Linked DNA regions of Drosophila melanogaster. The gene in region 3 interacts genetically with the main gene of each other region. Each region holds a gene or a part of one and is shown on either strand. Other genes may lie near its edges.

Evidence for each region.
Region 1: of sima (region 3) and Hph, changing one suppresses a phenotype caused by changing the other (phenotypic suppression), as found in Drosophila melanogaster (one study listed by BioGRID).
Region 2: of sima (region 3) and Surf1, changing one suppresses a phenotype caused by changing the other (phenotypic suppression), as found in Drosophila melanogaster (one study listed by BioGRID).

Annotation. Positions count from the first base shown.
Region 1 is NT_033777.3:5,251,556-5,262,587, forward strand, and holds the start of Hph (HIF prolyl hydroxylase), read left to right. Parts: upstream 1-5,481; 5' UTR 5,482-6,009; coding exon 6,010-6,566; intron 6,567-6,780; exon of another isoform or gene 6,781-6,915; coding exon of another isoform or gene 6,916-7,590; exon of another isoform or gene 7,591-7,604; intron 7,605-10,970; exon of another isoform or gene 10,971-11,032. Other genes in the region: CG1113 (uncharacterized protein), read left to right, coding at 1,901-2,114, 2,320-3,364, 3,419-3,848; Enoph (Enolase-phosphatase), read right to left, coding at 3,907-4,064, 4,127-4,383, 4,693-5,048; Tim17a2, read right to left, coding at 6,916-7,590.
Region 2 is NT_037436.4:6,950,348-6,960,097, reverse strand, and holds Surf1 (surfeit 1), read right to left. Parts: upstream 1,753-9,750; 5' UTR 1,666-1,752; coding exon 1,462-1,665; intron 1,394-1,461; coding exon 1,272-1,393; intron 1,210-1,271; coding exon 1,015-1,209; intron 959-1,014; coding exon 577-958; 3' UTR 512-576; downstream 1-511. Other genes in the region: Uqcc1 (Ubiquinol-cytochrome c reductase complex assembly factor 1), read left to right, coding at 2,077-2,133, 2,247-2,435, 2,495-2,746, 2,814-3,095; CG9948 (uncharacterized protein), read right to left, coding at 3,151-3,644, 3,701-3,863; CG10077 (uncharacterized protein), read left to right, coding at 4,710-4,717, 4,929-6,325, 8,653-8,831, 8,896-9,750. UniProt on the Drosophila melanogaster protein: Probably involved in the biogenesis of the COX complex.
Region 3 is NT_033777.3:30,057,796-30,068,684, reverse strand, and holds the start of sima (uncharacterized protein), read right to left. Parts: upstream 5,764-10,889; 5' UTR 5,608-5,763; coding exon 5,147-5,607; intron 1,611-5,146; coding exon 1,423-1,610; intron 1,362-1,422; coding exon 1,132-1,361; intron 1,073-1,131; coding exon 851-1,072; intron 788-850; coding exon 621-787; intron 372-620; coding exon 265-371; intron 1-264. Other genes in the region: CG7950 (uncharacterized protein), read right to left, coding at 10,750-10,889. UniProt on the Drosophila melanogaster protein: Functions as a transcriptional regulator of the adaptive response to hypoxia. Binds to core DNA sequence 5'-[AG]CGTG-3' within the hypoxia response element (HRE) of target gene promoters.

The DNA.
Region 1 (11,032 bases), about 25 Mb from region 3:
TGGGGGCCTCCTAAATATCCGCCAGAAAACTCGCCGACTTTCGGTGCGCTCGTTTCACAATGAGTTTAGCACAAATCACGCGCACAGGTGAAGTCGATTGTTTCGCGTTCCGCTATCGAAATACACCGCCTTTGCTGTTTGGTGGTTTTTGGTCTTTGTTTTCTGCGAGACAGGGGTGGACCGATGTCGATTGTTACTCATTGTGTCGATTTCTTGCTATCGATGTGCGCTCGGTAAGTATCGATAGCCTTGGATTTTAGGTTAGCTCCTTTTGGTCTTCGAATTCGATTTTTAGTTCATGCTCATCGATATTTCGTTTGCTTATTTACCGCTTCATTTGAATTTTTTGATCTTTTTATATATTTGTTTACTAATAGTTACCTACGAGGAGGTGGTTATGATTACCAATTCGGCGAGAGTAGGACCAAGGCAGGATGTACTATGTTTTCCACCCAAAAGGATTATGTATTTAAGATGAGAATCATTGGGAGATTCGATCTAGCCATGTCCATATCGGGAATTATATAAGGTGTAAAGTTATGGCACGCAGGGAATATTCGGCAACAGTCGAAGATGAAAAATAAATTCCCTTAATGTTGTAAAAAATTTGTCAATAAAATTTCATTATCTTTTGCAAGGGTATAAAAATAACACCAAATTCTTAACAGGTAATTATTTGTTCCTCGACTATCAGATACCCGTAACTCAACTGTGGGATTGCATACAAAACATTTCTGTGGCGAATCAATAGCAATAGACAAGGAAAATTTATCGTTACTAATAAGAAAACGAAAAAGTGTGGGCTGGACAGTTTCGCTAAGTTTCTGGGAGTTCGAGTGGGCGAGGCAAGTCGATAGAAATTTATAAGGCTCATAATAAATAACATTTAAAAGTGTGGGCGACGCCGTATTGTTCGGTTTGTGGGCTGGCTTTAGAGTGGGCGTGGTAACAATGCGGGAAAAAAACTTGCGATGCGTCTACGTCTGCATCCCTAATCTCAACTTTCTTTAGTGAGATCGAGATCGAGGCGGTCATATTGACAGATGATCACGGCCAGATCGACTAGGCTTTTGACCCTGATCAAGAATTTATAGGATATGAAGCGTATCTATCTACCCTTAACACCCTTTTCAACGATTAACGTATAATTTATTAAAGAATTTGTATTCATTGAACCATAAATTTTAAGACCACTTAGTACCATCCTACTACATATATACAAATAAACGATAATGAAAGTCTGCATAGTTGCTGTCCGATCATAGCAAGTAATTCATCAATTAAAGCGTAGCCCAAGGAGCACGCGAAATCTAAAAAAAGGCCAAAAAACATAATTTCTTTAATTGGTGCTGGTAAGTGGCAAAAATTATACAAAATTCTTGCTTAAAATCGCATTGATTGATTCCCCATTTAAGCACTCAGTACGATTTGATTTAATTCCCTAACTTGTAATGAATTTGAATAAATAAAAAACTCCTTACTTACTTATTTATTTTAAAACCATATCATATTAAAACTTGGTTAACTACCGCTTGATTGGTGTATGACTTGTTAGGACCACAAAATATTTTTTTGATTTTCTTTACAACTTGGTCTGCGGAACTTTCACACAAACATCAGTATATCAATCAATTAATACATTCTGGGGAAGGGTATCTAGCTTACTGGGACCTGAACTCAGATTTTCCCAGCCCTTGCGGTTGCGCAGACGAAGTGCATCCGAAACCAGGACAGCAATGCGGTGCGTGACTTGGCGAATGGTGTGCCCAAAACGGAAGTGCACAAAAACAAACAGTGGGAGGTTACCGCTGGCAACAACAGTATGTTGTGCTTGGTATTGATAAAGCGCGTTTGCAACAATTAAAGATTTTCCAATAGGAACACTTCAGCTTCCCGCAGCATGAGCTCGCACTATCTGAATTCCTGTGTGAAAGTGCCCATCGATCCGTGCAATAACTGTCCGGCTCCGGTATACAATCGGCCCAAGCTCAGCTCCCTTGGTGGAAAGAAGCCGACCGACCAGGCTCACATTTCGCAGCCAGAGGCAGAGACACCTGCGTGGAGCAGCCAGATGGGGGTCAGGTCCCTAGCTAAATTCTACGACAGTATACCTGGTGAGTTCAGCTTGGAAATGTCTGCACCTTGAAATGTAATCTTCGGGGTTAGTATTTAAAGGATTTCTTGCTCTTCCGTTTCAAATTCAACTTACCTTGAGTTTTGTCCTTCATTAGTCTTTGAATGAATGTGCAATGATTTAAAATAAGAAAGATGGATAATTAGAAAGACACATACTCACCACAATTATTTTGCTTTCCCTAGACTATCGTGATGTGAAGCACCTGCACCGAGTTGAGTTCTACTCAACTCTGGAGAGCCTGCGAAGCACCAGCCGTGAACTGCGATCTCAGGCAGCAACTGCTCCAACTGTGGAGCGAAGTGCCAGTGTCAGCAGCTGTTCTGTGGGTCATGGAAAGTCTAAAAAGCGGCCTTCCAAGGGGAAAAAGATAAAGAAACGTCCTTTGGTGCTGGATCCTGTTCCTCCGCCAGCAATCTTAGTGATCCCCGGCCAACAGGATAGATGCGCTACCCGCCCAGTTGTCCATACTCCCAATTCCAGTTGTCTAAGCGACGAGTACGACCAGTGCCTCAGGGACTTGAGTCGTCTGAAAAGTTTTAAGGAGGACTTTGCAGTGGAGGTTGCGGATTTCAAGAGGTCCCTTAAGAGCTTCGAAGCGGAGTTCCGCAGGCCAAAGTCCACGAGCAGCAACGGAACTCAAACACAAACCAACAAGCAAAGTCAGACGCAGAACCGCTGCCAGAAGACTGCCAATCCTGGCCAGCACACGGCAGAACGGGCCAAGTGCCGAAGGGAAATGCTGCGCAGGTGCTTTAGTGTCAATGATCTTCAAGGGATTGCCTTAGAGGCTCATTCGAAGCCTTCCAAACTAGCTCAGCCTGCGCGAAGCAACTATTTCCCACTCAGCAAGCAGGAGGAAATTCCCAAGATACAGATTCAATCACCCACCACCTCGTCGAAGCGAAGTAGTAGTGCTTCCAGCGCAGCAAGAGGTCGAGGAAGACGCGGAAGAGTAAGGAAACCAAAGCCAGGGTCTAGCGTAAAGGATGAGAAGCCACTACCACCGCTGAGCATCTATGAGTTGCCGGAGGAACCGGTCCAGAGGAGAACGCCCAGTGTGTCCCCGTTGCATCCGGTATCTCGTCCTAATCTAGCGGCAACTTTGAGGGCTGAAGTATCTAGGAAGAAGGTTAAGGAGCTGAAGAACAACTGCACTTATCATGATCCTCGTCCGCAATTCGATTGGGAGGTGAGGAAAACGCCGGCTTGGAAATCACTGTCCTTGAAGTGAGTAGTTCACCAAATATTAAGTTTCGCACACATTCAGTGTTCTTTCTTTAGCGAATCCCACAAGGCACTGCTATCCATTCGGTTGGCCACTCGCAAGGCAGAGCAGGCTTTTCAGGAGCGTCAGTACGAACTGCATATGGAGATGATGCGTCAACGGGTCAAATCCGCTCCCCTTCTTCTGGAAGGACCCACGTTCTGGGGTCCAGAAGTGGGCAAGCTCACCCACACCTGCCGGACCGAGGAACTGCGTCATTCGTGCGAGGGGAGCCGGCAACGTAGGAAGAAAAAGTCAGAGTTTCCTGTTCCCGATGCGGATACTAAGCTGCAGCAACTGCGTAAGGTCTATGGCTCAGAAAAGTCCTGTTCGAGGCAGTCTCAACGAAGCAAGCGGTCCGAACGACGGCCGCAGGGGCTCACGACCGAGACGCCCAGCCACGACAGCGGTGACGACCTGTGCAGCGCAGATCGAGCTTTCCTCTAGAGATTCACCTAATTCCCAAGCACATAGTCACAATATATGTATACTTTTTTGGAATGACCTAAGCCTGGGATTTATTGACCGGAACTTTCAGGTTGTGAAGTGGTTTAAAGTCCGGAATCAACTCGAATCCAGTTTTTTGATCGTCTGCTAGGGCGGCGTTTCCAGGACGCTTCAGAATTATGGCTTGCAAGCCCGCACAGCGAGCGGCGGCCGCTTCTAAAATATAATTTCACATTAAAAATGTTACGGATGAGGATTCGTGTGGATCAGCCACTCACCTCCTGGAATATCCGTGAGAAAGAGTATCTGCTTCGGGTCCTCCTTCAATTGCTTGGCAATGTTTTTATAGGACTGCTGTTCCTGTTTGTGGCCCACATGGGTGTCGAAATAAGCACTCAAGTACGGCTGCAGGTTCCCGGCCAAACTATGACCGAATATCAGCTTTTGGGCAGCCACACTGCCGCTGGAGTAGACTGCAATCTGGAGGCCAGCAGCACGCCAAGCCTCAAAAGCTGCAGGGACGTCTTCGTATACACTATAATAACATTTATAGATAATTAATTAATTATCAATAATAATGAGTTGTTGCGTTGTACTTTTGGTTACTATGTTGAATGTTATCTGATAACTATTGAAATCAGCAAAAGTTAAACATTCCCGTGCGGAGAATATAGCTAGCATACATATTTAAAAAATCACCAAGCTGTATAATTGGATCTCAGAAAGACACCCAAATTATTTTTGGGAACAGACGTTAAGTAAGCCTTTTCTTTGATAACCTTCTAGAGTTCAGATTGTAAAACTTATATGGCCATGATAGGAGAATATTGAATGGGGAACTTACTGGCCCTTCAGCTCTCCATTAGCGTAGCCCTGCGCCCAAATCAAGCCCTGCAGCGTTTTCATTGGCGTGACCTTCAGATCCTGATCAATTAAATAGCGCACAAAGCCTGCAATCAGATCTACATCCACTTCCGTAGGTGGACCACTTAACAGGGCCTTGTAGTCCGCATACTGGGGCACTTGCTGTAGATCCTGGACAATACGCTTTATATCATCTTCTTCCCACGAATCCCTCAGGAACTTTTCCACATTCTGCTTGGCGTAGGGAAACAGGACATCGTGCACAAAGCTAATCGAAGTGGTGGTGCCCTCGATGTCCACCAGCACCACTTTGGCCACTCGTTCACTGGACGACATTGCGCTTATTAGTGGGATTAAGTTATCACGAGGAACCAGTTGATTTTCCGCCCAGCATCTGTTTAGTTTTGATAATGGAGATGGCACATCGCGCTATCGACTATCGACTTTAAAATATATATATATAAATGTATTGGAATAGACGATAAGGGTATTTGCCATTCTTAGAGACCTTGCTTAATTGATAAACGATCGACTGAAGTTGTATTAAAGTAATTCTTATGGGGTTAATGGCCGCTTTGAGTTAATTTTCCCAATAGCTTTTTGTTTCCGAATCTTGTGCAATTAAATATTAAAGCTAGTAAATAAAAATAGCGAAATAAAAAGCTTTGATTACCGTTAGTATATAAGTGCCAGTATAAAATAATCACCACTAACGTTGGCTCGTTCAGCTATCGATACCTACTGCCCGCCGGTAATAGTGCTGTACAACGAGTACATGTCAATCGCTGCACGCTAAGTATCGGTCGACGCCCATCGCTATCAAAAAGAAATTTTAGTGCTGAGTTAAGAATTTTTCCCTTTTTTTGCACAGTTTACGCGGTTTTTATAAACAAGGGGCGTAATAGAGCTCAAGGCAGGGTATAAAACAGTCAATAGGGTTAAAAGTTGCAACCCTAAAACGTCTTACAAAAGAGAATACTCGCAGGAAAAACCAACAACAATGCACATATAGCTGCCCGTGCGTCTGTGTGTGTGCGTTGTATGTGCGTTTTTTTTTGTTTATTTGGCAAATTCGGTGGCCTACGTGATTAAAATAAGCACAAACAGTCTTAAGTGAAATGTTGGCTAAAACGCCCGAGTGCCGTAATTCGCATTGATAACAAATAGCCATAATCTGCGAGCGTGTGTGTGTGTGATTGCCTCAGTTGGCGTAGGTGAGGTGGGGTAAAAAAAGCTGGGAGAGCTGTCAAGGTTAAAATCGGTCGTCGCCTTTGGCTCTCCTCTCCCGCAAAATGCAATGAGCAGGGGTCGCGGAAAGGTCAGGGATTCAGCAAGCCATTCCGGCTCCCACTCCGCATCCAAATCGGCCATGGACCCGCCGCGCTGCTCCATCTGCGGCACTCAGCAGCAACTACTGCGCTGCGCCAAGTGCAAGGCCGTCTACTACTGCTCCCCCGCCCACCAGCATCTCCATTGGCCCGACCACCGCACCGAGTGCCGCCTCCTGACCCGCCAAAAGCTCAACAGCAGCAACAACAATAAGCAGCAGCAGCGGCAGCAGATCCAGCAACTGCAACAAGCTGTGGCATCTGCCAATCTGGAATGCAGCGGCGCCGGCGCCAACTGCTCCACCGCCCAGATGATGACGCCTGCCCACCAGGCGCAGAGTTGGCCCGCCGAGGTAGACAACCTGCTGAATCTCCTCGGGCAGCCGGGCAGCCAGGAGAAGGCTGCAGCTGCGGAAACGGAAACAGGTCAAAGGCAGCAGCAGCACCAGCATCATCACCATAATGGCGAAAAGAGCTCCAGCTATCAAATCGGTCTGGCGGATGCCAGCTTCATGGGATCAGGAAGGTAGGTCGTCAGTGGACAGGTCAGATGTTTCAGTTTCAACAGTTTTATGCTAAAACATAAGTTAAAAATGTATAATACTATAATACTGCTCATGGTGGCACGCTAGAAGAGATATATTTTTCTTAGAAGCTCTTTTGAGCCTGCATAGTGCCATAGTATTTTATTAGATGCAATCAAATATCAGCTGATCTTTTATTGAAGATGGAAAAATATTCTCCATGAGATAGAAAATCATTCCTTGTACCTACTGGGCTTTTAAAAATAATATAAGATTAACGCTGAATATCGAATTAACACTTAATTTGGAAGAAGCATGGGAGGTTGACTTAAAACCTTAAAAGCTTTTCTATCAGACAATTTCGGCCAGCTTTACCAGATCGACCAACGAGTGCATTGGCTTCATCAGTTGCCCCAGTTCCTTACCCTCCACTGCGTCCGAACGCATAGGCTGCTGCATCTTGTTGTGTGCCCTGTATGCCCGACATTCATCCAACACCCGCTCTAACTCCGCCCCAGTTAGGTTCGAATCAGCAACGGATGTCTCCCACTGGGGTCTCTGCATTTGCTGGTCAACAGTGATTAGGGACTCCTCTGCTTTGACTCCTCCATCCGATGCATAAATCGTAGCCACTGCTGCTCCAGCTCCTTCGAGCATGGCTAAAACGAGGCAGCCCACAAAGGCACTGTTGGCCATGGCTCGAATTCCATTCCGGGCGGCTAAAATTCCGCCAGTGGCCGCTCCGCTGACAATCGCGTTCCAGGAATCCTCCCTCTGGCGGTACGAGACCATGACGCAGTCCACCGTGCTGAAGGTGGCGCCCCAAATGGCAAAGCTGCCGGCTATGGCCGGTGTCCGCAACCTCACCGATTCTATACCGCCGTGCAAGCCACGTCGAAGACCGGACGGAGCGTTTCGGAATCCCTTGAGGTACTGAAACAACGATCCTCCCATGGTGCCCATCATAAAGGCGCACCCGCAATCCTCTACAATCCTGATGGGACACGGCTGGCGATTGTACTCCATGTTCGGGTGATGTACTGACCAAAAGAATCCGTAATTAATTCAAAACTTGATTTGTAGTGAACTTTCCTTGTTTTGCGAATATGTGCTATCAGCTTTTGACCAATATGGCCTTTGATTAAAAACGTGTGTTTATAGATTATACATAACTTTGAGAATGTTGCCTTACGACTTTTACGTCCGTTCTAACTAGATACAAATATTTACCAATGGTCCTACAAACGAAATATACAGTTTGTCAAGAAACTGTTTACACACTGTGAAATAAGTTGAATTTTTGACTTTAAAGCTAAAAATTAAAGGTTTTTTGCTTAATTAAACGCATTTTTTTTATAAAATATAATTAAACAATATTTATTTTACTTATAAATCAAAAAACAAATTAAAAATATTAAATATACAAGAAAAAAAACAACAAATTCCAAGTTTAAACACTTTTGAGACTGTCAAGAAACTCTTTACACAAAACACTAAATCGATGTTTAATCCTAAATTTTTAAATTATTTTATTAAAATTTTAAAAGTTTTGGTATGTAGTATGTTCCCCATTGGCTTTAGCTACAAGTTGAAGCCCTTTTTTCATGGATTGGACAAGTTTTTGCAGGTCATATTCAAACGGGATCTTTTCACACTCTTCGACTATTACAGTCATAAGCTGTTGTTGTGTTTTAGGTTCCTTTTTGCCACCTTCTTCTTTAAGTAGGTCCACAAATTTTCAATGGGGTTCAGATCAGGACTCTGAGGGGGCGTATCGATCACTTTACCACAGTTATAAGGGCGCCAGGTGCGTACATTGCACTCTTTATGTTTCTGATCATGTCCTCTTAAAATATAAAATTTGGCTTGTTGTTGCTAACTAGATCAAATTTTTCTGCACTGGCCTTCAAATTTGTTTTTTAAAATTCCTAGATATTGCACGGCAATTATTGTGCCCTCAATTAAGGCTAGTTTTCCCACTCTACGGCTGGTGATACAGCCCCAAACCAACAGTGACATTTTTCCAAATTTTATCGTTGGAATGATATTTTGTTTTTCTAGCGCACTCAACGGTTTGCGCCATACTCTGCTTGGCCCGTCGTTATAAAAGAGCATCATTTTTGTTTCGTCACCAAATATGACGTCATCCCAGTACTCTTCCGCATGATCCATCATGCTCACTGCGAATAAATGACGCTTTTCAATATTGGCATCTGATAGCAAAGGGTTTTTCCTTGCAACTCTTGAAGAGTACCTATGGCGTAGGATGACTTGGCGCACAGTTTCGTGTGACACAGCTAGGTGACATTCTTGCCTGATATCTAGAGCAAGTGATCTGACCGAGATTCGGGGGTTCGCAATCACTATTCGCATAATAAAGCAGTCTACACGCTTTTTAATTTTAATTTTCCGCCCACCACCACTCTTAGGTTCAAGCCTGCCCTCTTTTTCCGAGCCTTTTAAAACATTGTAGACGGTCTTACGGGATACAGGAAACATTTATACTAATTCTGGAAAAGATTTTTCCAACTGGTGGTTATAGTTTATTAATTGGGTAACTTCAAAAGTTAATCTCTTTCCAGGCATTTTATTAAATTTAATAATTCGCTTTAAGCACGTTTGATCAGCAAAATTTCACAAGCAAAGTCAACAAATTTCAATAGAAGCGTTGTAAAAAGCAATGCAAAGCCAAAAATAACGGAAAAATCGAGTTCGTTCTAAGAAAAAGAACAAAACAAAGTAGGAAAACAAAATGTGTAAAGAGTTTCTTGACAGTCTTAAAAGTGTGTAAACTTGGAATTCGTTGTTTATTTTCTTGTATATTTAATATTTTGAATTTGTTTTTTGATTTATAAATAAAATAAATATTGTTTAATTATATTATTTAAAAAAATTTCGTTTAATTAAGCAAAAAACCCTTAATTTTTAGCTTTAAAGTCAAAAATTCAACTTATTTCACAGTGTGTAAACAGTTTCTTGACAACGTACATAGATCGAGCAAAAACTTGTACAAGAAAAATGCCACTCAGATATTGATGAGTTATTTTCAATATCTTATTGAAAACATCCAAATGACTCGGTAGAATAGATTTTCTACGTTTTGGTGCAAGCTTATCTTGAATTTGATTAGCCATGATTTCACCTGATAACTAGTTATTAAATGTAACTGAACCAAGCACCGCGATTAGCTAGCCGACCGCACACTTGAAGTTGCGTTTGCAGTTTGTCCCGGAGCGAAATCTATAGCCCCAAATATACCCCACTAGGTGCATCCTCCTGCTCGTAGCCCCCTATCGTCTTCACTTGCACATCAAGTCAATTACGATAAGCGGTTACGTGCCCACTCCTGAGAAGCCTCACGAATCAACAGCAGAACATGACACAGCTGATGACATATCGCTCATATGGCGCTGAAGTTTATGGTTTTCGCGATCCTCAAGCTTCTTCGCAGCTGATTTATTGGTTGTTGATATACAGCTTATACTAGTTACCTCGCAAAAGGTCCTATAACACAAATCAAAACATTGAATAGCACTGCTAGATCATCTTAGATCGCTTGGGTGAATTAGTATAATTGTATTAGCCAAACCATGGCTCATTTTGGAACTGCTGCTGTTAAAGTATACACAAATCATATGATATAATATTACAGGTGTTCAAGGTAAAGCTTCCAATCCAATGGGGAACCAGGAAAGGACTCTTTAGGAGACAAACACTTGGTGTTGGTTTTAGATTGATGTCTGCACGTACTACATAGGCTGTCCGATATTCTCAGACGTAAAAGTTTAAAAATAGAAACAGTTTGTTTTCCCATTCAACTCATCGCATTGTCAGATGAGATTCGTAATTGCCCTGCGATTTGACTGTCTCCGGATTGCTAACATTCTGCTCCGAGATGGCACCTCTCGAGTCGAGTATTTATTTACCTTCGGCATTACGTGCCCGGCCGCATAGTGTATATGGCACCCATGCCCGATCTGATAGCACCTGCAATCGCAGCCGGACTCGCATTCTTCCGGGCGGAGGTGCTGACTTTGTAATTATTCTGTTGCGCAGTTTGTTGCGTCCAAATCTTTAATACTCGCTTATTTATTTTGCTTTGCACCCCGGCATTAACGAATACAACAAACATGAACCGCACACATCGGAGCACATATAGAAATTTGTTCGTAATTTTATCTTTCAGCCAATCCGGCTGAGTCATCATCAACCCCACACTGTGCAGTAAATTATTTTGTGTTCCTGGATGTGCAGTTGTAGCTAATAAGTGCAACATATGAACTAATTCAGATAACTTCCCACCCGATAGTTATGATATTTTCTTTTTACTTGGATACACAAATAAAAGCCTTCATTTTTCTATGTTACTGTTGCAAATCGATTTTGTCAGGTGCAGTATTTTCTACCTTCTTATCGCCCGAAGTGGGTGGGTGGTCCGTTCGGCCGGGAGGTCCGGAGCGTTTTGCCT
Region 2 (9,750 bases), on a different chromosome or scaffold from region 3:
TCTTTTCTGTAGCTGAGTGTATGTTAGATTGGGTCGATTAAGCTTAAGTTGAATCATGTTTAGGAGAATAGAATCGTTTCAAATCATCAGAGGACTCTGTCAGTTTTAAGTGAAAAGTAAAGTTGAATTCTTGCATTTTGTATATTAGTTTCTAAAGGATATAAGCTTTTAAAACATTTCTGTATATAACTAGAAAGCGAATTACTTATTTGAACAACATAAGGCAATGATTGATTAACCACAAAGTTATAAAACGTAGTAACTATTTTTGATCAGACAATATAATATTATGTAGCTTTCCCCATATCGACCCAAACTAACGAGTGTGTTTCTAAATAGTTAAAGTATTCAACTAGGCACACCCGCAAGGGAAACCCTCGAACCGTATTTGTATTCATATTCCTATTCCTATTCCCCTGTCGATCCGCCACTCGAGGATCGGTAGTTGCAATATTAAGTCCCAGCAGGACAATAATCCCCTCCTGCGGCGGGCCAATAAAAACCAGCATTTACACGAGAGCATGTAAATTTTTATAATAAAAATAACAACAGTGCGTTTGATTTGGGTTCCCTTTTTCAGAAGGGTATCCTCTTGACTATTTGGCGGTACCACAAAAAGGAGGTGGCCGCCGATAGACTGAACCAGGTCACCAGGTACGACAGATGATCGTTGCGCAGGGTAACGCGTGTCTGTCCACCGATTGGAGCATGTGCAGCCGTTTGCGGATCGTAGACGGCGTCCAGGAACACAGGAGCTGCTCCTGTGGCGGCGCACATGCGCGCCAAGTCGCGATAGAGATAGACATTGCCCTTGTGGTCGGGTGTGAACTGCGGACGCGCCTCTCCTTTGCGCACGACGGCGGTGAGCTCCACTTCCGCCTGTTGTTGGCCCAGCGGCCTGGTTTCCGGCTCCACTTGCTTGCGGGACACCCAGCCCCGATTGACGAGCACTATGTCGCTGGGGGCGAAACGATATTAAGATGATTCTATGGGATTTCCTTGAGCACAACTTACTCTCTATCTGCCAGCTGAAAAGGGGTTACTATTAGATAGCCATTGCCCGAGTCGCGCTGCGAGAAGAGTCCTCCTTGGGTTTCCACGCCATCGGGCCGTATCAGCGATCTCGGACCCAGGCGCATCTCCTTGTCGTGAAGGAAACGTCCACGGATCTTGACCAGGCGGTACTCCATTTGGGCCAAGTCAGTGAGACTACAGGAGGGAATACACTATAGTGGGTGGGTATATAGTGGAGAATATGTGGGCAAACCTACTCGTCTGGTAGAGCCACAGGCGCCGTGCTCAGCTGCTTGTTGAGATCCTTGATCAACTGCTCCTTCCAAATCTTGCGCTTCACTTGCCAGCAGCCCAAGCCAAAAGTGGTGGCCGGTATGAGCTGGGGATTGGTTAATGGACAACAAGGATTAGTTGTGTGTATAGGTAGAGGAGTTGGTGTCTACCCACCAGGAGGAACCATCCCAAAGGAGCTATCTTCTCCTTGTCCTTCGCCGCCTGATTGGGAATACTGGTTGTCCAATTCACCGGCGGTCGCTGTTGTGTCATCTTTCTGGTGATTAATCTCGGATTGTTCGCGGTGCCCGGGTTTCGGAATACAGTCTGTATATTAAAGGCCACTTGCCGGCACATTTGGTTCCCCAAACGTATCATACTTTCTTTTATTTTGCTCTAAATTTTCTATTTATTTATTTATTTACATTTCCAACTGGAAGTTGATAGTAAGACCGTTTTGCACTGTTATGAACGGATAATAACTTCATGCGGTCACACCACTTCCGAATGTAAGCTCTTCTTGATTTTATGAATTAAGACTGCAAAGGTTTAAAGTATATAAAAAATAAAGTAATAGTTATTACTTTTCACATGCAAAAAAAAAAACATTTTTCTTTCTTTACAAAGATTTGTATCTGTTACTGTTAATCATATGTTAGCAAGTCACTGTTAACATGTCGTTATACCCAAGTTGGCAGCCCCGTTACGATCAGCTGTTTTAGTCTGTTGTCGCGTGCAATTGGATTTTTTAAACGATTTTGTTTTAGTAAATTTAGGATACATTTAAGAATGCAGTGCACTCGTGCAGTTGCAAGACTGGCCGGCGGCCTAGCGAGAACCGCATGGGTATGTTTAAAGCAGGGGTTGTACTTTATTTAGTCAAAACACGGTCATCCGAATGCACCGCCATCAACTCTTATATAAACGGATATAAAATTTTTAAATTAAACATATTATAGGCAACACAACATACGTATAAGCACAGGCCAGCGATACTGGGACTGCTGGAGCAGCCATGCCGCTTGTGTTCATCCACCGGCGTTGTGGATAATACCAATAAAACGAAACCCGGCACAGCGGAAGCCGCAGAAGGCGGTATTCTGAAGAGAGTGCTCAACAAAGTGGGCTTCACACCGAACACAAAGGCGGTAGGACTCGGATTACTTTGCCCATTTGATTAATATTCATCGAAGTGATCCCATTTCAGCGCCTCAAGGTAACCAGTCATCTGCTGTACGAAAGCGTCGCCGACAAGATCAACTATGTGACCTTTTTCCGCGACTTCAATCTGCCCAATACCTTTAACTCCTGGTTCTTGGTCACCGAACTGCATGTTTGGCTACTCCTGATGCGCTCCATGGCCGAGGGCTCCGAAACGGGCGAGGATGGACGCTTCCTGCGCAACTGCATTGTGGAGGCGATGTGGGGAGATGTTAACACACGCGCCAAGAAATTGGGAGTAGGTTTTACTTTAGTTCACCTTTATATATATAATCTTTATGCTCTTCATATGTGTTTCCCAACAGGCTCACAATCCTTCACGCACCCGTCAGCAAATCGAGACCTTATCCGAGCAGTTCCAAGCGGCCCTAATCGCCTACGACGAGGGCATCATGTCCGACGATCGGGTTTTGGCCTGCGCCTTGTGGCGCCGCTTCTTCGAGATGAACTGTGATGATTACGCGCAGATCGAGCGACTGGTGAAGTACGTCCGCCAGCAGGCCAGCATGCTGGACAGTTTGCCGCGCGATCAGTTCATTGTCAAGCCGAAAGTGGCATGGTTGGAATTGGACAAGTGCAAGGTTTAATCTTAGTTATATTCTGTTTTTTAAAAATAAAGTTTGAGAGTATGTGAACTGGAAACTAGATGCTAAGGTCCTCCACGGACTGATTACTCAAGGCACGCAGCTGGCACTTGAGCAGAAATGCTGTAATCCTTCGTTCTGCCCTTCTCCGCTGCGGTTCCTTTAGTTGGGCCAGTATTTGGTCCATCTGGAGAAAGCTGCTTCTGGGCGAGATTATTTCAGCGGGCTCTTGTTCCTCGTAGATGATTTCCTCTTGGATGATCTGTTCACTGGGCTCCTCGATGACCTCCTCGATTATGAACGTACTCGACTGCTGTGGAACATCCCCATCCTCAAAAGTGTCCCACAAAAATTGCACAGGAGTTTCCGTCTGGATGGTCGCCTCCTGTTTGTTTGTTTTGGGTTTGGTTTTCACTTTGGAGGGCGGCTGGATCTCGGCCAAAAATCGCAGGCGTTCCAGGTACGGCCAGGTGGATCCACTGGTGTCCGCGCGGCGAAACTCCTTGCGAAACTGATAGTGCAGATTGTTCCAGCGCATCAGGCAGAAGTCCACTAAGAGGATTATAACTTTAAATATATATATCTTATTCTTTTATTAGCTGACTTACCATCACAGCCCATCATCTCGGCTATGCGAGCCCAGATATCGGTTTTCGCCTTCATGGCATCGTAGTTCGAGAGTCCAGATCTCTTATAGAGCACAGGATTGGGTTCCACCAGATCAATTAGCTTGAAGTCGAAAGGTCTGTTTTTCTTGTAACTGGTGCGCATGGCTACCAAATTGAATTAAACTAGCTTGAACTTGATAATTAAGAATCCCTTGCTTGAGCCATGTTTATTTACCTTATGAAGTACAGCAGAGCTACGATTAAGCGAAAACCATTTGGCACGTATTGTATGTCATAATTGCGGGCTTAAGATACTTAACAAATGAAGGGAAATTACATAATAATAAATTATATTTTAACTGCATTATTAGAACCTTGTTTATTAGTTATTACTTTACAGATAGAAATTTACAGGTTAACTACATTGAGCGATCACTGTAATATTCCAATTTATGTCCACACTTTGGTTTTTGGGTCGTTCTATAGGCTGGTCACATTTTTCTTGCTGACCATTATTATCGAAGTTGCTTTACCCGATAGGTTCCAGACAAACAATATCAGACGTCTTTGTTTTGCTTAAAAAATTAATAGTTCTTATTGTTAATTACCGGTGCCGCATTAAAAAAATACTGGTTAGACAACGAAGTAACTACAAACTAGCAACCATAGTGCTCTAAAGTGCTCTTAATAGTGTTCCATATTCTTTTCAGTTATTATTTTTATTTAATTTGTTATTATTAGAAACGTTCACAATAATTATTTATATATTAAAAGTTTCCTACTAACAAATATTTTGACATTTTTCCCTATTCGTTGTGATCGTTTCTAGAAAATTCAATCGATGTTTCCAGAAAACCTAACCTATCGAACCAATCGATATTAACACCGATTTTTTCCACAGCTCTATTGACGACGTAGAAGCTGAAAAAATTGTGGAGTGAAAAATTGTAAAAGTGACCGAAAAAACTATACTTTGGCCAGCTATATTTCCACTTACATCACACCAGCAATGAACATGTGAGTATTGAAACACAGGCACACATTTTTTAAGCCCAAATTTCGGTTTAGCATGCGGCCAGGGGCCGAGTGTCGAAAATCAATAAATTCAAAATGGCAGTAAAAAATGAAAATTACATAAAAAAAGGTCGCTTCGTGTAAATTTCAACATTTTGGCAACGCATTAAAGGGCTCAAAATTCTAATTTTATGGCACAAAACGCTCGTCGCAGGTACAACGGACAGATGAACGCCTTCGGAGGCGGTGGCGGCGGAGGAGCTGGTGGCCTAGCCGGCGGTATGGTGCCCAATCGCATGGGCGGTGGTGCTCCCGGTGGCGGACCCGGCGGAGCGGGCATGTTCCAGCGCAATCGCTCGGCCCCATACCCAGGTTTCAATGGTCATGGACCCGCCAACGGTGGACAGCGACGCATGAACGGTGGTGGTCCTAGCATGGGACCCGGCGGACCACGCAACCAGGATGGATTCGGTGGTCAGAACGGGGGCCAGCGCTCTTCCAATCATGGCGCTCACTTGCCCAAGATCGTTTGGTCTGAGGTGAATCTTACGCCATTCCGCAAGAACTTTTACAAGCCGTGCGATTCGGTGCTGGCCAGGACTGTCGGTGAAACAGAGACCTTCCTCACCAGCAATGAGATCACCATCAAGGGCGATCAGGTGCCCACACCCAGTATTGAATTCGAGGAGGGCGGCTTTCCCGATTACGTGATGAACGAGATCCGTAAGCAGGGTTTCGCCAAGCCAACGGCCATTCAAGCCCAGGGTTGGCCCATTGCTATGAGTGGACGGGATCTGGTGGGCGTGGCCCAGACCGGATCGGGCAAGACCTTGGCGTATGTTCTGCCGGCGGTGGTGCACATCAATAACCAGCCGCGCCTGGAGCGCGGTGATGGACCCATCGCCCTGGTCCTGGCTCCCACTAGAGAGTTGGCCCAGCAGATCCAGCAGGTAGCCATTGAGTTTGGCAGCAACACGCATGTGCGCAACACTTGCATCTTTGGTGGAGCGCCCAAGGGACAGCAGGCTAGGGATTTGGAGCGCGGCGTGGAGATTGTAATTGCCACACCAGGTCGCCTAATTGATTTCCTCGAGCGCGGCACCACCTCGTTGAAGAGATGCACCTATCTGGTGCTTGACGAGGCCGATCGTATGCTCGACATGGGCTTCGAGCCCCAGATCAGAAAGATCATGCAGCAGATCCGACCGGACCGTCAGGTACTCATGTGGTCAGCTACCTGGCCCAAAGAGGTGCGCCAGCTGGCCGAGGAATTCCTTAATAACTACATACAGGTGAACATTGGTTCGCTTTCGCTGAGCGCCAATCACAACATCCTCCAGATCGTGGACGTGTGCGATGAGAATGAGAAATTGATGAAGCTGATCAAGCTGCTAACAGACATCTCGGCGGAGAACGAGACCAAGACCATCATTTTCGTGGAAACCAAGAAGCGTGTGGACGAGATCACGCGCAATATCTCCCGCCAGGGCTGGCGCGCATGCGCCATCCACGGCGATAAGTCGCAGCAGGAGCGCGACTTTGTGCTCTCGAGCTTCCGCAATGGCCGGCACTCGATACTGGTGGCCACCGATGTGGCTGCCCGCGGACTCGGTGAGTATACGTAGCCTTTGTGGGGCCCTAAATGGGGCCAACTTTCGTTTTTTCTCTCCGTAACCAAGCAATTGTTGCCTGTGGATCAATCAGCATCCCGTGGGGTTTCATTCATTATTTTGTGATTCGTCGTCGACGCCTTCCTGGTTCGTCTGGTCTCAGCGATCCGTCAGCGATGAATCGGCCAACACCGCCCAGCCTCTTCGCTCTTCCTTCCGCTCTGTTTCCAGAACTTTGGAGGTTTTTCGTTTCGGGTCTGTTCCGGATTTCACAAGCTATTCACGATTTGAAGCTGAAAGCGCATGATTCCCATTTTGGGGTCCATTGATGGAATCTTCGCTTGCTTCAGTGTGTAAATAATACTCATAGTTTTTTGTTTGTATTCATTTTAATTTAATTAAGCTGGGTAAACAGTAGCCTAATCTAAGAGCTCTAGCGCAAATCTTCGCCTAGCTGTGTTCGAAATTAACTGGGGTTAGATATGGGGGTTAAATATTTGTAAACAAATTTTTATTTTATGTTATATTTTAAATGAAGTTTTGGGTAGCTATGCGGAGTTAAATGAGCTCATTACTGGTTACCATCTATCAAAGAATGTTATTTGGTAAACGTGAAAACCGGAAAGGACCGCTTGTATTTTTTTTTTAAATTGCATGTTCAAATCTGTAGGCAGCCGAAAAATTGTCATTTATTATTTTTCAATCATTTTCGAGTGGTTCGATGCCGGGTGGACCATTAAGTCTAACTTATTGAACCCTTTAGTTTGCTGAATGATTCTACGAATCCGAAGAAAAGGTGTGGGCTCAAATAATGAGGGGAATGTGTTTGTTCTCCATGCATTGCTGGTTATATGATGTTGTTACTTTTAGTTCGTTTGTTGCTCTCTTGCTCATAGTTTTTAGTTGTGTCTCGTCAATCACATTTTGAGTAACTTAATTGTAAAAAAGCGATTTACTGTCAGTCAAGGAGTCAATGGCCAGCAAAATAATCTTAAAACAAAAAACCCAAACTAAAGAGTAATCTCAGTGCACCCAAAAGAAATTAACCTTTAATCCAAAGCGATTAAACCGTGCCTTAACTATAACTATATATATATATCTTAAGTTTTTTTTTTATTTAGTTTCTAGAACAATGTGAAGTAACTAATGTGTTGAGTAACATTTGCAACATTTTGCGGCCCAAGTATTTGTTGACTGATGATAATTTTCTGTAGCTTATTTATGTATCATAAAGTACCTAGTATACTATATTACGTCGCTCCTTACTCTATGTATAATACCTAAATTTGTGTGTGAACAAAAATATCATCAGCACTTTATGAAATGGACTTCGATTTTTCAAATGGCAAAACTAGACAAAAAAGAAAAAAACCCGTTCAAAGTTAAAAAGTTATATACACAAAGCAGTTAAAGAGAAAAGCTATATATACAAGTTGAGGGTTGAGTTATAAGTTTCTAGCATTGCGGAGATCCGTGGGATCTCCATCATCACGGCCCAGTTGCGAGGACACCATCTCCAGGGACTCTTATTCGTAAGCCTAATTCTAATCCCATATTCTAACCCTAGATCGCCAGGGTAAGTACTAGGCTAATTTATTTCTTCCTAATCATAGCAATATGCCCGCATCCTCGTTCCCCCTTCCCTTCCATCGAAGTATGTTCCTCCTTTTAAACCAAATCAGCACCCTTCTATCATAAGCTTTGATCATTCATTCACATTTATGTACATCTCTTATTTATAATGTTAATTTTAATCAAGCCGTCTCTTGTATGCATTAAGCTTAAACATTTATATTACGATTTGTGTATTCAAAAATGATATAAAAGAAAGTATGATGAGAAGAAAAGGTCGAGGTCCACATTTCTGCAGTATAAAAAGAACATATGTCTATTTGCCAAAGATGTATTGTTATTAATATACGCTAATAGTATTGATGGCGAAATTTTTGTTCAAAGTACAAAACCATACCAAAAAAAAAAAATTTAAATTTAAACCGATCTAACACCAACCGACAAAATCCATTCGACAATTCGATCAAAAATGTATTTTAAGTTCTATTAACAAACTTAACAAGAAAAACAAATGATCGCACCGACACAAACAACCACTAATACCAATACCATGACATGAAAACACACACCAAGACAGAAACGGACACCACTCACACAAGCACACAAATAAGTTTTTTGTTTTTGTTAAATAGTTTCTTGAGTATTGAGAAAGATTCCTATTTTCGACGCATTGCTTCGATTTGATAATTTTAACGCTTCTTTTCACATTCTTCAATTTTCAAATTCGAAATGAAAAATATTATTGAAATCAAACAGACGTTGACGATGTCAAGTTTGTGATCAACTACGATTATCCTTCGAACTCGGAGGACTACGTTCATCGCATTGGACGCACCGGACGATCCAATAACACCGGCACCGCCTACACCCTGTTTACGCATTCCAACGCCAACAAGGCCAACGACTTGATCCAGGTGCTGCGCGAGGCCAACCAGGTGAGTGCTCCTCGTAGCTTTCAATCCTTTCGATGGCAAATTTACTCACCTCCTCCGTTTGCAGACCATCAATCCCAAACTGATGAACATGGCCATGAACGGTGGCTACAACAAGCGCGGTGGCGGCATGGGTGGCGGCTACCGTGGCGGCAATGGCTATCAGGGCCGCAATCCCCAGATGGGCGGTGGATACAATGGCGGCAACAACTACCGCAACAACAATGGTCCCGGCGCCACCATGAATCGCAACTCCTTTAACGGCGGCAGCGCTGGCGGACCACCACGCTTCGATCAGAAGCCGCGCACTTCTCCGCCGAATCAGGGCGGACAGGGCGGCTACCGTGGCCAGGGAGGCGGTGGCTACCAGGGACAACAGCAGCAGCAGCAGCAGCAGAACGGCGGAGTGCCCTTCTCTCGTTTCAATCCCAATGCTGCTTGCTTCGAGCCCAACAAGCCGCAGAATGGTCCGGGATCTGGACCGCCACAGGCGCAGCACCAGCAGCAGCAACAGGCTCAGGCTGCCCAGCAGCAACACCTACTTCCTGATGCATCCGTGCAGGCGGCGATGACGGCTGCAAACTACGGAGTTGATCAGAAGCGCTCCCGTTTCTCGCCCTACAACATGAACTTTGCCAACATGCCACCACCAGCGATGAACCAGCAGCAGGCGGCGGCGGCCCAGCAGCAACAGCAACAACAGTTGCAAACTCCCCAGCAGCAACAGCAGCAGCAGCAAATGCAACAGCCACAGGCCTATGGCCAGTACTCTTCAATGTCCTCCAGCATGGCAACCGTGTCGCTCAACGGAGGAGCTGCAGCGGTGGCCAGCTCTTACCGCGCCCCGTACGCAGTGCCCACGCAGGCGGCACCCTATATGATGGCGAACGGCGGCGACATCTTTGCCTATCCGCCGCCTCCG
Region 3 (10,889 bases):
GGACGTGAACAGGAACTGCTTGGGATTCTAGGAGTCAGGATGCGGAGCAGAGCACAGGACAGGTAACGCCGCCGGACGAGTGACAACTTTGTTTTGATGTGCCGGACTCTTCCGGCTTCCTTCCTGTCCTCCGCGTCCATTGCAACCCACCAACTAACGACGAACGCGTTTTAATTTGCACATTAAAGTAATTAGTTTAGCATTAGTTAGCTGTAGTTTGTTTTAATGAGTCGCGAGTTTTCGGAGTTGGACGATGCCACTTACCGCTCTTGAAGGTGGCCATCAGGCGTTCGGAATCTGCTCCATGCTGGCACGAAAACAAAGAGGTGTCAAGTAGATCCTTGGGCGAATATCCCAGTAAGTCATGCATCCTGAAATCAAAGCAGGGAACAAATGAGAATTAATGTTACTATCCTCTAGACGGGTTCCCATTTTGATGCTTTTCTAGGCTGCTTAATATGTTTACGTAATCTATTAATTTGTGCTTGTTCATTATGAGTAAGTAAATGATAGTTAAGTGCCACTTTTGGCAGAGCAATTAGTCAATCCCTCAAAAAGAAACCTAAGCAGTTATGGTTTTTAAAATGGGATTTGCGTCTTTAATTCTGTATGTATCTCACTTGTCATCCACATAGGTGAAACGCATATCCAGGGAGTGTTTGGTAAGGAAGGTGCTAGTTCCCAACGGAATCTCAATGTTCGAAGGATGCGGAATTGGTCGGCCAATGGCCATCAGCAGACGTTCGCCCTTTGCATTGACCACCAAGTGTCCCGTGATGTGAATGACCTGAAAACCCCAATAAGGCATGGGTTAGTTGGTGCTATGGTGTCTCAAACTCATTTAGCTCACCTTATACGAAGCGCTCTTGATGTTGATGCTTCGTCCACGACTGGTCAAGGTGCACTTCAAGCGCACAAACAGATCCCGGTGATGGGTGCTCACTCCAGAGTTCTGCTGCGGCTCATCCTTGACCTTCTGGGCAAGTTCACGCTTTAGGCTGAGAGCCTCCTTGATCTCGGCGTGATCGCACTGGTGCGAGTACTCCCAGATCTGTTGGCCAAGTGTGTCAATCTGCGCAAAGTTGAGAGCAAGTTAGAATCTTCTTCAATGAAGTATTTGGATACATTTACCTTGGTGATGCCCAGATACTCGACTACGTTTTCGGACACGTAGGTGATGTCTCCCTCGTGGGACAAGACCAACAGGAATCCGTCCATGGTCTGTTTGAGGAGCTCTCTGGCCTCAGCTCCGTTGAGCCAATCCTCAGTGCCCACTTCCAGCTTGGGCTTGACTTCCTGCTGATCCTCTGCAGTTTCAATGTCCTGCTTGATGTCATCATTGCAGTCGCGCAAGCTGGGCACTGAAATAAGTAATATATTAGATGGTGCTAACAAAGATTTCACATCCTAAGGGAAACTCACCGAACTGCAGCATTTCGCGAATCTTGAGGAAAGCGATGGTGATCCTCATCACGGAGGCCTTGTCCAGTTGGTTGACATCGTCGGTTTTCAATGGCAAAGCAGCCGAGAGTTCCATGAATATCTCTGTCTCCTTGGAGCGACGACATCTAGCCGCATCGCGAGACTTTTCCTTGCGTTTTTCATTGTTCCTGCAAAGATCGATCGGATGGAAAATTAGCATAAGCTCAAAACGAGCACGTACGCCAATGATCAGTGGGAAAAGGGGGGATCTAGCACGGGGGAGGCTGCCTGAAATATGCGTGCATTTGCATGGCTGCACTTTTATACCCGTTTGATTGCTTCTGATTCAATTCACGCGGCCAGAGCTCGCAATTTTTCAATTAAGCAAAACGCTTGTAATTTTCGCGTTTGTTGCCAGGTCGAGCGAAAAAACAAAAGTCGATCGACACGGCGCCAAAGTTCTCGGCAGCTATTCCTAGCCGTCTTTTCGAAAAACACTAACTAATAACAAATAAATAAATAAAGATGAAGATCAAAGTAAATGCTGGTAATCAAAATACTACTGCAGAACAATAAATTATATTCAATTCTAATAAAGCCTCATATCTGAAAAGAATCTCAATGTCGCGACTTTGTAAAAGTATTTTTCTTTTCAACGATGCTGATAAGGAATTTCTACGCATTCCTCATCTACAGAGTCTTAAAAAACATTCGAAATAAATCCAATATTGCCTAGAGGATCCTGACATACAGAGACGACCTCCCTTGGGATGGATACCTGTGCATTCCGAGCTGGCAGAAGAGCCCGGGGACTTAGATAGTTTATAACGTCTGTTTCGGATTCCGAGAATAGCCGGCAGTCACACGTTCCACTGATAAAAAGTGGCTAAGTTGCCTTGGCACCAATTTTCGTGGTGGTGGTCTTTTGGAATATTTCGCCAGGGGATTGACAAAACACCGATGATTTGGCAATTAGCGACTCTGCAGAGTTAGTTGTCTTCGCTGGATGAGTAAGTCCCATTTAAACCCTGGGTATCGACTCGTCTACATTGGCGACGTGTTTTAATCGGCAACCAAGCAGGCAAATCGATCGTACACACTTGTAGGACGACAGAGCACTGACCTCACACACACGACTGACACTATCTTTATGCCAATACGAGTATATTGCGGGAAATTCTAAGAAAAGACGGATGGCCCTCCCGCGGGACTGCGGAAAAACTGTAGTCTGCCAAGAAAATCTCTTGAGTAGCCGCATGCAAGAACATAACTCGTGGCTCTTAATATTTTCTTTATTATCGATATAGTGGGCGAACTTGTATAATCCACGGGTGACGCCCATTTCAGCACGTATGTACATTTATTTCCTGGCATTTTGTTCAAAATTTGCCAACGCTGCTTTATTGATCCGCTGGGATGAAAAAAGACCTGAACACGTCAGGTGGTTCACTTGGGAAAATCTGCCCGGTAACAACGCGAAAATATCAAACTTTTTTGTTAACAAACCCTAAGTACCGCCTGTCAACGGAGGAGTCGCAATCATCAAAAGTCCATCATATCAGCCGACAAAGTCACAGTACAATATGATCTATTGTCAGTCTGCCGCCTGTCTAATAATGGCTTAAGTATCTATTAAAAACAGTATTCCCGTTTTCTTTTACTGTAAGTAAATAAATTGAATAAATCGAAGCAAACTACTTAGTTGTTGAACATAATCTTCTATTATGACATATTTAAATATGAGATAGGACCCCACTAATCGATCGATTGTAAACAGAGGAAATCTTAACATAAACAAATGCTAAACTTGACTTTGCACTCGAAAGAATTTCTATTATTAAAAGAGTATTCTGAACGCCCAGATAAAACGTTGATTAGGAAACTCTGTGAAAGTGAAGAAACAATGCATTCAAATAAATCAAAAATAAATAAAACAGAAACCAGTTTAGATAAGAGGGCTTTTCATTGTCAATCAACCAACTGATGGATGGAAACCAAAGTTTGAAGCGAAACTCGAATGGCTGCTCAAATAATTATTATATAGTATTATATTACTTCGCCAGCAAAGTGAATACTAATATAGGCGTAGACCCGTGGATTTCTATATATATTATATATGCATTAATAAACACAAATCCGATAGTTGCTAGCTCGTGGCCCATAGAAAGCGGCGGAGAGTGACTTTGAATTGCATGCTAATGGCCTGCTTAAATGGTGGGATATTCGCCGGGGGGGTGGGGTTTTGGTTTGGGAGGTATGCACATACATATATATATTTTCGATCGGCCCCATTGTCTGTTCATTAGAACAGAGGCAAGTACGGCATGTTAAATATTCTGCCTGCGCCAGCAGAATTGCCTTGTTATTGCCGCTGGTGCTGCTGCTGTTGTTGTTGCTAAGTATTTCCGCTCCAAAGCAGCTCAAAACACTGAACAAAATTAAGCTATAATATTGAAAGCACACCTTAATATGTGTACTACCCTTCCGTATGATGATTATAATGATGTAGTATGCTGATCTTAAGATACCATTTTCCGCACTTTGTGTATGAAATGAGTTTGAATATGCAAACACCACGATCGCCGCACGTGGCCATCTAAGTCCTGCTGGCTTATCCGACAACACCTTAGGATACTGACCCGCTGTTGTTTGAGTTTGAATTGCGAGCATTGCGAAATGTTGGCCAAGCTACCTCCAAGTGCGCCGTATCTCCGGGCGAGATATCAGCGAAAACACATAAAATACGACTCGAAGTGCTAATGCCAAGTTCATGGGACAGTAAATCGAGGCGCAACAGCGGGTCAGGGATGTTTGGTCTCTTCTTGGGAGCACCATATTGTGGGTGGAGTTCTTCGGGCAGCGCCGTCCTGCAATTGCGTCAGTTTGGTTTCGGCTCATTAGCATGGAGATGGGCCAGCCGAATTTGGCTTAAACGTGTGCAAAACGTAAATAAACCAAATCCGACTACCATTACGAAAACATTTGCTTGCTGCGCACGTTGCATGCAAAGTTTTCAAGGAGGTGAAGTCCAGGGAAAGGGGCTGTAATCTGCGTCAATCGCCAGATAATCGTATACATCAACCAGATGGATTGTGAAACCTTCAGCAGACCCCTAACGATAACTCCTTGGGAAATACCCCACATAAAATCATCGGCGGCAGATAACAATTACACAACAGCACAACTGACAAGCAATTTACTATTTCCACGCAACAATCGAAGTGAGAGAAAAAGTCTTTTCCAGCCCACAATCTTATAAACGGTACCTCTCTTGGGAATAACCCACCGAACCTTGACTCATACGACACCTCTCTCGCGCCATAGTTCCGTCCCCCTCGCCCTATCTTTTGCTGCGTATCTAAATATTATTATAAAAGCGATTCACAAATAAGCATAGATAAGTGCAGCGCCGTTTGCTTTCGGCTCGGGTTTTACAATGGAACACGGCCAATTTTCTAGGAGCTCAGCTCGTTCAGGTGCCTCCAGGAAAATGTAAATCGCTAGCGGCATTCGGCCACCGATTCTAACTGGTTTTTGTTTTGTTTACTTGAATGAGCTAGAGCTCTCCACAGTTATGTAACAACAATTATTAAGCAAAATTGTGTAAATATTCGTACTTGAATACTATTTGATAATGAGATTAAGGAATACCCTTCGTGAAAAACGCAAAATCACAGAATTACCCAAAACAACAAATTGACCAACCACTTTGGTCGTCACTCACATGAAATCCTCGATGTCGACAAACTGGGAGAACTGGCAAGGTTGAGTGTTCGTGGGCGCGTAGCCATAGCAGTAGGCGTAGCTCCAGGGGCGGCTTTCGCGACAGGGCGTGGCCACGTTCAGAAGCGATCCCCTCTGGCGATAGAAGGCGTCCTGGGGCTGCTGCTGATGGTACGGATGGTACCTTTGCATCCCAGTGGAGGACATATTGGGGCCGAGCATAGCGCCCACGAAGGGTTGGCTTCCGGGAGCAGGGCCATTGTAGAATGACCCGTTGCCAAAGTTCACAGTGGGTTCATTGATGGGCATTGGCCCAAAAGCTGGGCCATTTCTGCTCAGCTGCCGCTGCCGCTGCGGCTTGGAATCGCACTCGTAGAAACTAGAACCGGGGATCACATCTTCGCCGTAGAACGAAATGTCGCCGGTACACGAAAAATCGCAGCTCTCGAAGGAATTAAACATTGAGTGCGCTGGAATCCGGCTAAGCCCATCGATGATGAACACACACACGCGTGCGATAAGAGCTGATAGTGTTTTGATTTGGCCACAACTTCACTGCTCCGGATATTTTGGTAGAACACGACGTACGGGAGTTCGAGCGCTAAATGAGCGAAAGGTTCCATAGCCTCGAAGCCATCATATTTATACCTGGGCAGCCGCACCAAAAAAAATCGCAAAAGAGCGGAGAGCCGACGTGAACGTCATATTCCGTGTGCTATCAGACAAGTTTGCCTATCCGGACAAGTGCGCTCCGGCCGGAGTGATAAGATAAAGTCCGGTCCGCCCGCCTCGTAGAAGCATTCAGGTGGCAGGGAGCCAGCGCTTCGGTTCTGCCCAATGGGACGATAACAGCGAATCGAGTGAGTGGCGGATTCAAATTAGAGCCATATAAATTATGTCAGTGCGCCCCACTTCAGTCGATAATTGGCTCGGACCATATAGTCTACTTTGCAGCGACGCCGGAAAATTTCCGCACGTCCAGGACCCATTTTCCGCCCATTTCCCTCGCTCACAAAGTGCAGTGCACGGCAAAGTCATGTTATAATTTTAGAATCTCTGCACCGAGAAAACAGTGCCACTCACTTCGAAGTGAAAATTTGATATAATATTCCAAAATTTTGAGTATTTAACCGCAGAACTGATGAACCATTTTTAGGTATTTCGAAAACTAACCAAAATTCGCACACACAAAATGAGAAGAAATATTAGAGAATTGATCTTTTTCACTGTGCGAGAAAAGCTGCTTGGATGACTAAATACTATCAGACTTATCCATGATTTCCCTAGTCGGCCGATAAGAACTATAACATAGGAGTTAAATATTTGGATTAGTTTGGCAAACAGCACGGAAAGTGAAACGAGATAAGGGAAGCTAGTTCCCCAGACCAAGCAAACGTAATCAAATCGCAATGTAATCAGCTCGTGGAGAAGGCAAAGGAACAGGCAGGGTCAACTTAAATCACTACGATAACCCCTTGTTTACCTGTTTATGCTACACCCGTCTATCACTAAACTATTTCGATGTTTAAATGTATTTCATATAAAAAAACAGTAAAAGTAGTTATTAACATTGTGAGCTTCTTGGGCTTCTCTTTTTGCAGATTGCCAGGAGTCCTTGTGATCGTTAGCTATGGTCTCATCTTGCATCATTCAAGGACTATCTTATAGAAGGTCTGTCAATCCTTTAGGTTGCTACAGTAACACCCGACGACGACCAATTAATTCGAAAGATGTCGTAAGAAGTTCATTGAGTTGTGGCAAGACCAGTGGTTAATACTTAATCCAAAGGAATAGCTGTTTACAACAGAACATCGTAAAGATCTTATCCATTCCCAAGAAAGAAGTTCCTTTGTTCTTGTTAATGTTGTTAGCAAAAAAATGACTTCCAAACAGGTTTCGCAATAATCTTAATCCGAAATTTTTGCTCATTTCACAAAACCTGTGGGGAATTTTCAGCGACTGATTCCAATTTATCGCCTTAAATATAAATTTAAACTTTCCCTGCCAGCAATTGCCGAATCATAACTTACACCGAATGCGATGCATATAGACCTCACACGCAACTGAACAAACGAAAAAGATTCGGAAGCTGCGCTACCTTCACGCTGTCTCCCTCACTCCGCTTATATACGTCTCTCTCGCTGCATCAAGTTCAATTTCATACAGAGAAAGAAAATTAATAGACAAATATATTGAATATGGTACAGTAAGACTAATTTATCTTTTTCTAAGAGAGCGACTGAACTTCGGATTTTACTATTTGAAATTTGATTACCAGTTATTTTTTTCAGTGCTCCAGTAGCAAGCAAGAGTGTAAGCATGTAAGGAGAAGAAGGAGAAGATCAACAATAACTCCACGAGCCTAATACTTGAATACAATGCCATCCATCTTTCTCTTTCTCCCTACATATACAATATATATGTAGTAGCACCATAACACCCCCTCGGGCGTTTCCATCCTCCCCGGATCGTCACATTTTTAGTTCGATTGCGCAAAAAGTAGGTCGTCGTGGCCAGACATGAAACAACAACAACAACAACAATAACAACAGCAGGGCATATCATTTAAATATTTTACAATACACACATGCTTGTGTGTAAGCGTGTTTTACTTTTGTGCGTTTCTCTGCGTTGGTATTGAAATTTATTTATTGCCGACTTGTTTTTAAGTTTATTCATTAGCTTCTTGGCGCAGGCCTAACAGCTTATAGAAATAACGTAAATAGAAAAACAAACATGAAAAATCTTGATTCAGATTCTTTCCTCCTCCAAATTCCGCCAACCAAGTCAACTTGTAATAATTCACTTTTATTGAGGTCACACCGTAGCTGCAGTTACGATCTGTTCAAGATCGCGTGTGCTGCAATCGAAAGAGTCGACCGATAGGCAAAAGGTTAGCGATGAACAATCGGAAAAATCGATGTTCAAAATGTTTGGGAAAATGCAATAAGACAATCTAAATTGACGTATTTCACATGGTGAGACGACTTAAGTCAATTGTTTTCATGTGTCACACTGCAAAATACATTGGAACCAGTTTGGAACAAATGGGAAAGACTCGATTTGTCGGTCAATGGGTCTAATCGAAGCTAGAGCGCATTTTGAAAATGGTTATAGAACCGCTTTTCGGCTTTTCCACACTTATTTTACTGCAGTTTTACGGTAGTCACGTAGGCCAAAGCGAAACTTTGTTTCAATCCAATGTAAATGTCTTGAGTGAAACATAAACTTATCGGTTTATGGGCTTATAAAATAAATAAATTTAAGTATTCGGAGGGGCGTGGACCAAAAACGAAAATAAAACAAAGCCAACAAAACGAAACACGAGGAAAAAAAACGGGTTGATCTTGGAGCAGGGGGGGCAGCATAATCGAACAGGTTTTCCTCATTGTGTTTTGGGTTTTCGCCTCACTTAAAAATAACCCATAAGTGCGTAAGGAAAAAGAGAACAATGCACTCGTCTAAAAATAAATCGCATTCAACGGGGGGGCTTGTCTTTGTGAGCCCTTTAAGGATAAACCTTCTCAAGATAGCAACAAGTGTTTTCAGGCCTCTCTTCTTGCCGCAATGGGCACTCATTCTCCTATCGTATACCCCCTAGATATCATATTCCACAGCGGAAACCAACCATGCATATGCAAACTGAACGATTTCGGTTCGTCTCGACTTTTGTCTTTGAAAGCCTGAAGGTCGCGGGTCTCGGCCATTGGATTCGCCGTCGCCATCGATCGTATAATAATTGCCGCGAATGCAAAAATTAGTTGAACGCGTGATTAATGATTGGCTTTCCATTATATCCCAATGCCTGTTTCGTCAATTAGTGACGCCCATTGAGGGAAGTTCACAAATTCCAGCCAGGCGGGAATTGAAATTCATTAAGTGAAATGCAATTCGCTCCCGTAAGGGTTAAAAGCGCTCTTATTTTTGGCTCAAAATCAGGCAGTAAGGTTGACTCATCTATAAGATACTGATTGCATACGAAACCCATGAGGACCTCAACGAAAGAAAATCAATCAATGTTGATAATTAATTAATTAATAGAGTGGAAATATAAATTAAATGTCAAGACTGAAATGTATGTGTAAGTTAGGTGTCCAGTTTGTGAAAATAAACGAATAAACATTGTACGTAAGGGATTCCCGATTGGCACTAGATTCCATTGATGTATCAACATTCTGATTCCAGATTGTTAAAATAAACGAAATACCGCATACGCACTAGGAAATTGAGAAGAAACGCGAGAAGCGGCGGATGGCAACGAAAGCCGCGACGAGCAATAATATCGCGACGAAGAGCGGGCGAAAAAGAAAGCAGGCGCTTATGCAATGGGCAAACAAGCGATCTAGGCAGATCCAACCAACGGATGGGATTGTAGATCGGCGGTATCCGGATTGCAGATTCGTGTGACTCACCTTCTTTTCTCCTTTGGTTTGCCGCTGGCCGTGAGATTGGTTTTTGGGGCGCCAGGAGATGGGGAGCCAACGGACGAAGATGGTGGGGAGGACGAGAACGAAGAGGAACAGGAGGAGGAGGAGGCGGAGGTGTTGGTGACCACCGCTTGGGACTGCTTCTGTTTCTCGGCCGCCGCTTCGATTGTGTCAATTAATGAAACCATTGTGTCTCCGGATTTCAAAGTGCGGCAGCATTCAAAAGATCTGCCGATGTGGAGGTTCCTGTTTTCCTTATCGCGAGTTTTTCCAGCACTTTTTGAGACTCTTCGTTGTTGTTTTCTATTATTTATCGCTGTTACTTTCGTTGTTTTCCTATGTATGAAAACTATTGTGCGCTTGTATTGGTTTCTGCGTTTGTATTGTTGTCACTACGCACACACACACTCGCACACACTATAACTCTGTTTTCCTGTTAAACCGTTATTATTTAATCACTTTTACACCGTTCACCTCGATTAACTTTGTGTATATCTGATTTTTGAGCCACAAAAAACAAAACACAAGGTTATATTATTATTTCACTGCTGTTGCTGTTGTTGTCGTTGTTATTGTGGTTGTAGTCTCAACTGGCCAATTGCACTTTGCTTTTTTCGATAATTCGGATATTTTTGTTATTGCACCTTGAAGTTCTGCACCGACTTGATGTTGAATTCGCGTTTAAGCATCTCACAAACGCGATTTATCCGCAATATATGCATTTTACACTGCGCCTACAGCATTTTTCCTTTCCACACGAAATCTTAATACGCTTTTATTTTTCCGTTTTCTTTGATTGCTGCTTCGTAAACAGTGTGGCAGCAGGGTGGAAAAATACTGCCAACGAGGTGGGAGCGCTTCGAGTATATACCAGAAATACACAACATATGGAAATAACGGCCTATTGGCTACAGTGAATACAAGATACATTTACATTTTTTTATTTGTGTATTTCGCTATTTGTAAAAAAAGCGAGAATTTAATTGAGAAAACGAGTATCTTTTATTTCTGAAATAAGCACTATGCTGTTTCAACAATATCTCTGTTAATTCCAGACTATCTGGCTGATAAATGTTTCCCAGTCACGATCGATAGTGTGGGGATGGATTGAAGTTAATGACAAGTTTTATTTATTTTGTACGAAGTCACACCTAGCTCTTATCTTATGTACTCCCACCTAAGCCTTGGGCACCACTGAACTGCTATTGGGGGACACCAGCTCATCGCCGCCTCCGTTGTTGCCCACATCCGCCAGCGGATCCGCGTTCTGGCCACCAACTGAACCGGCATCCGTGTCCAAGGCCTCGCTCAAGCCAT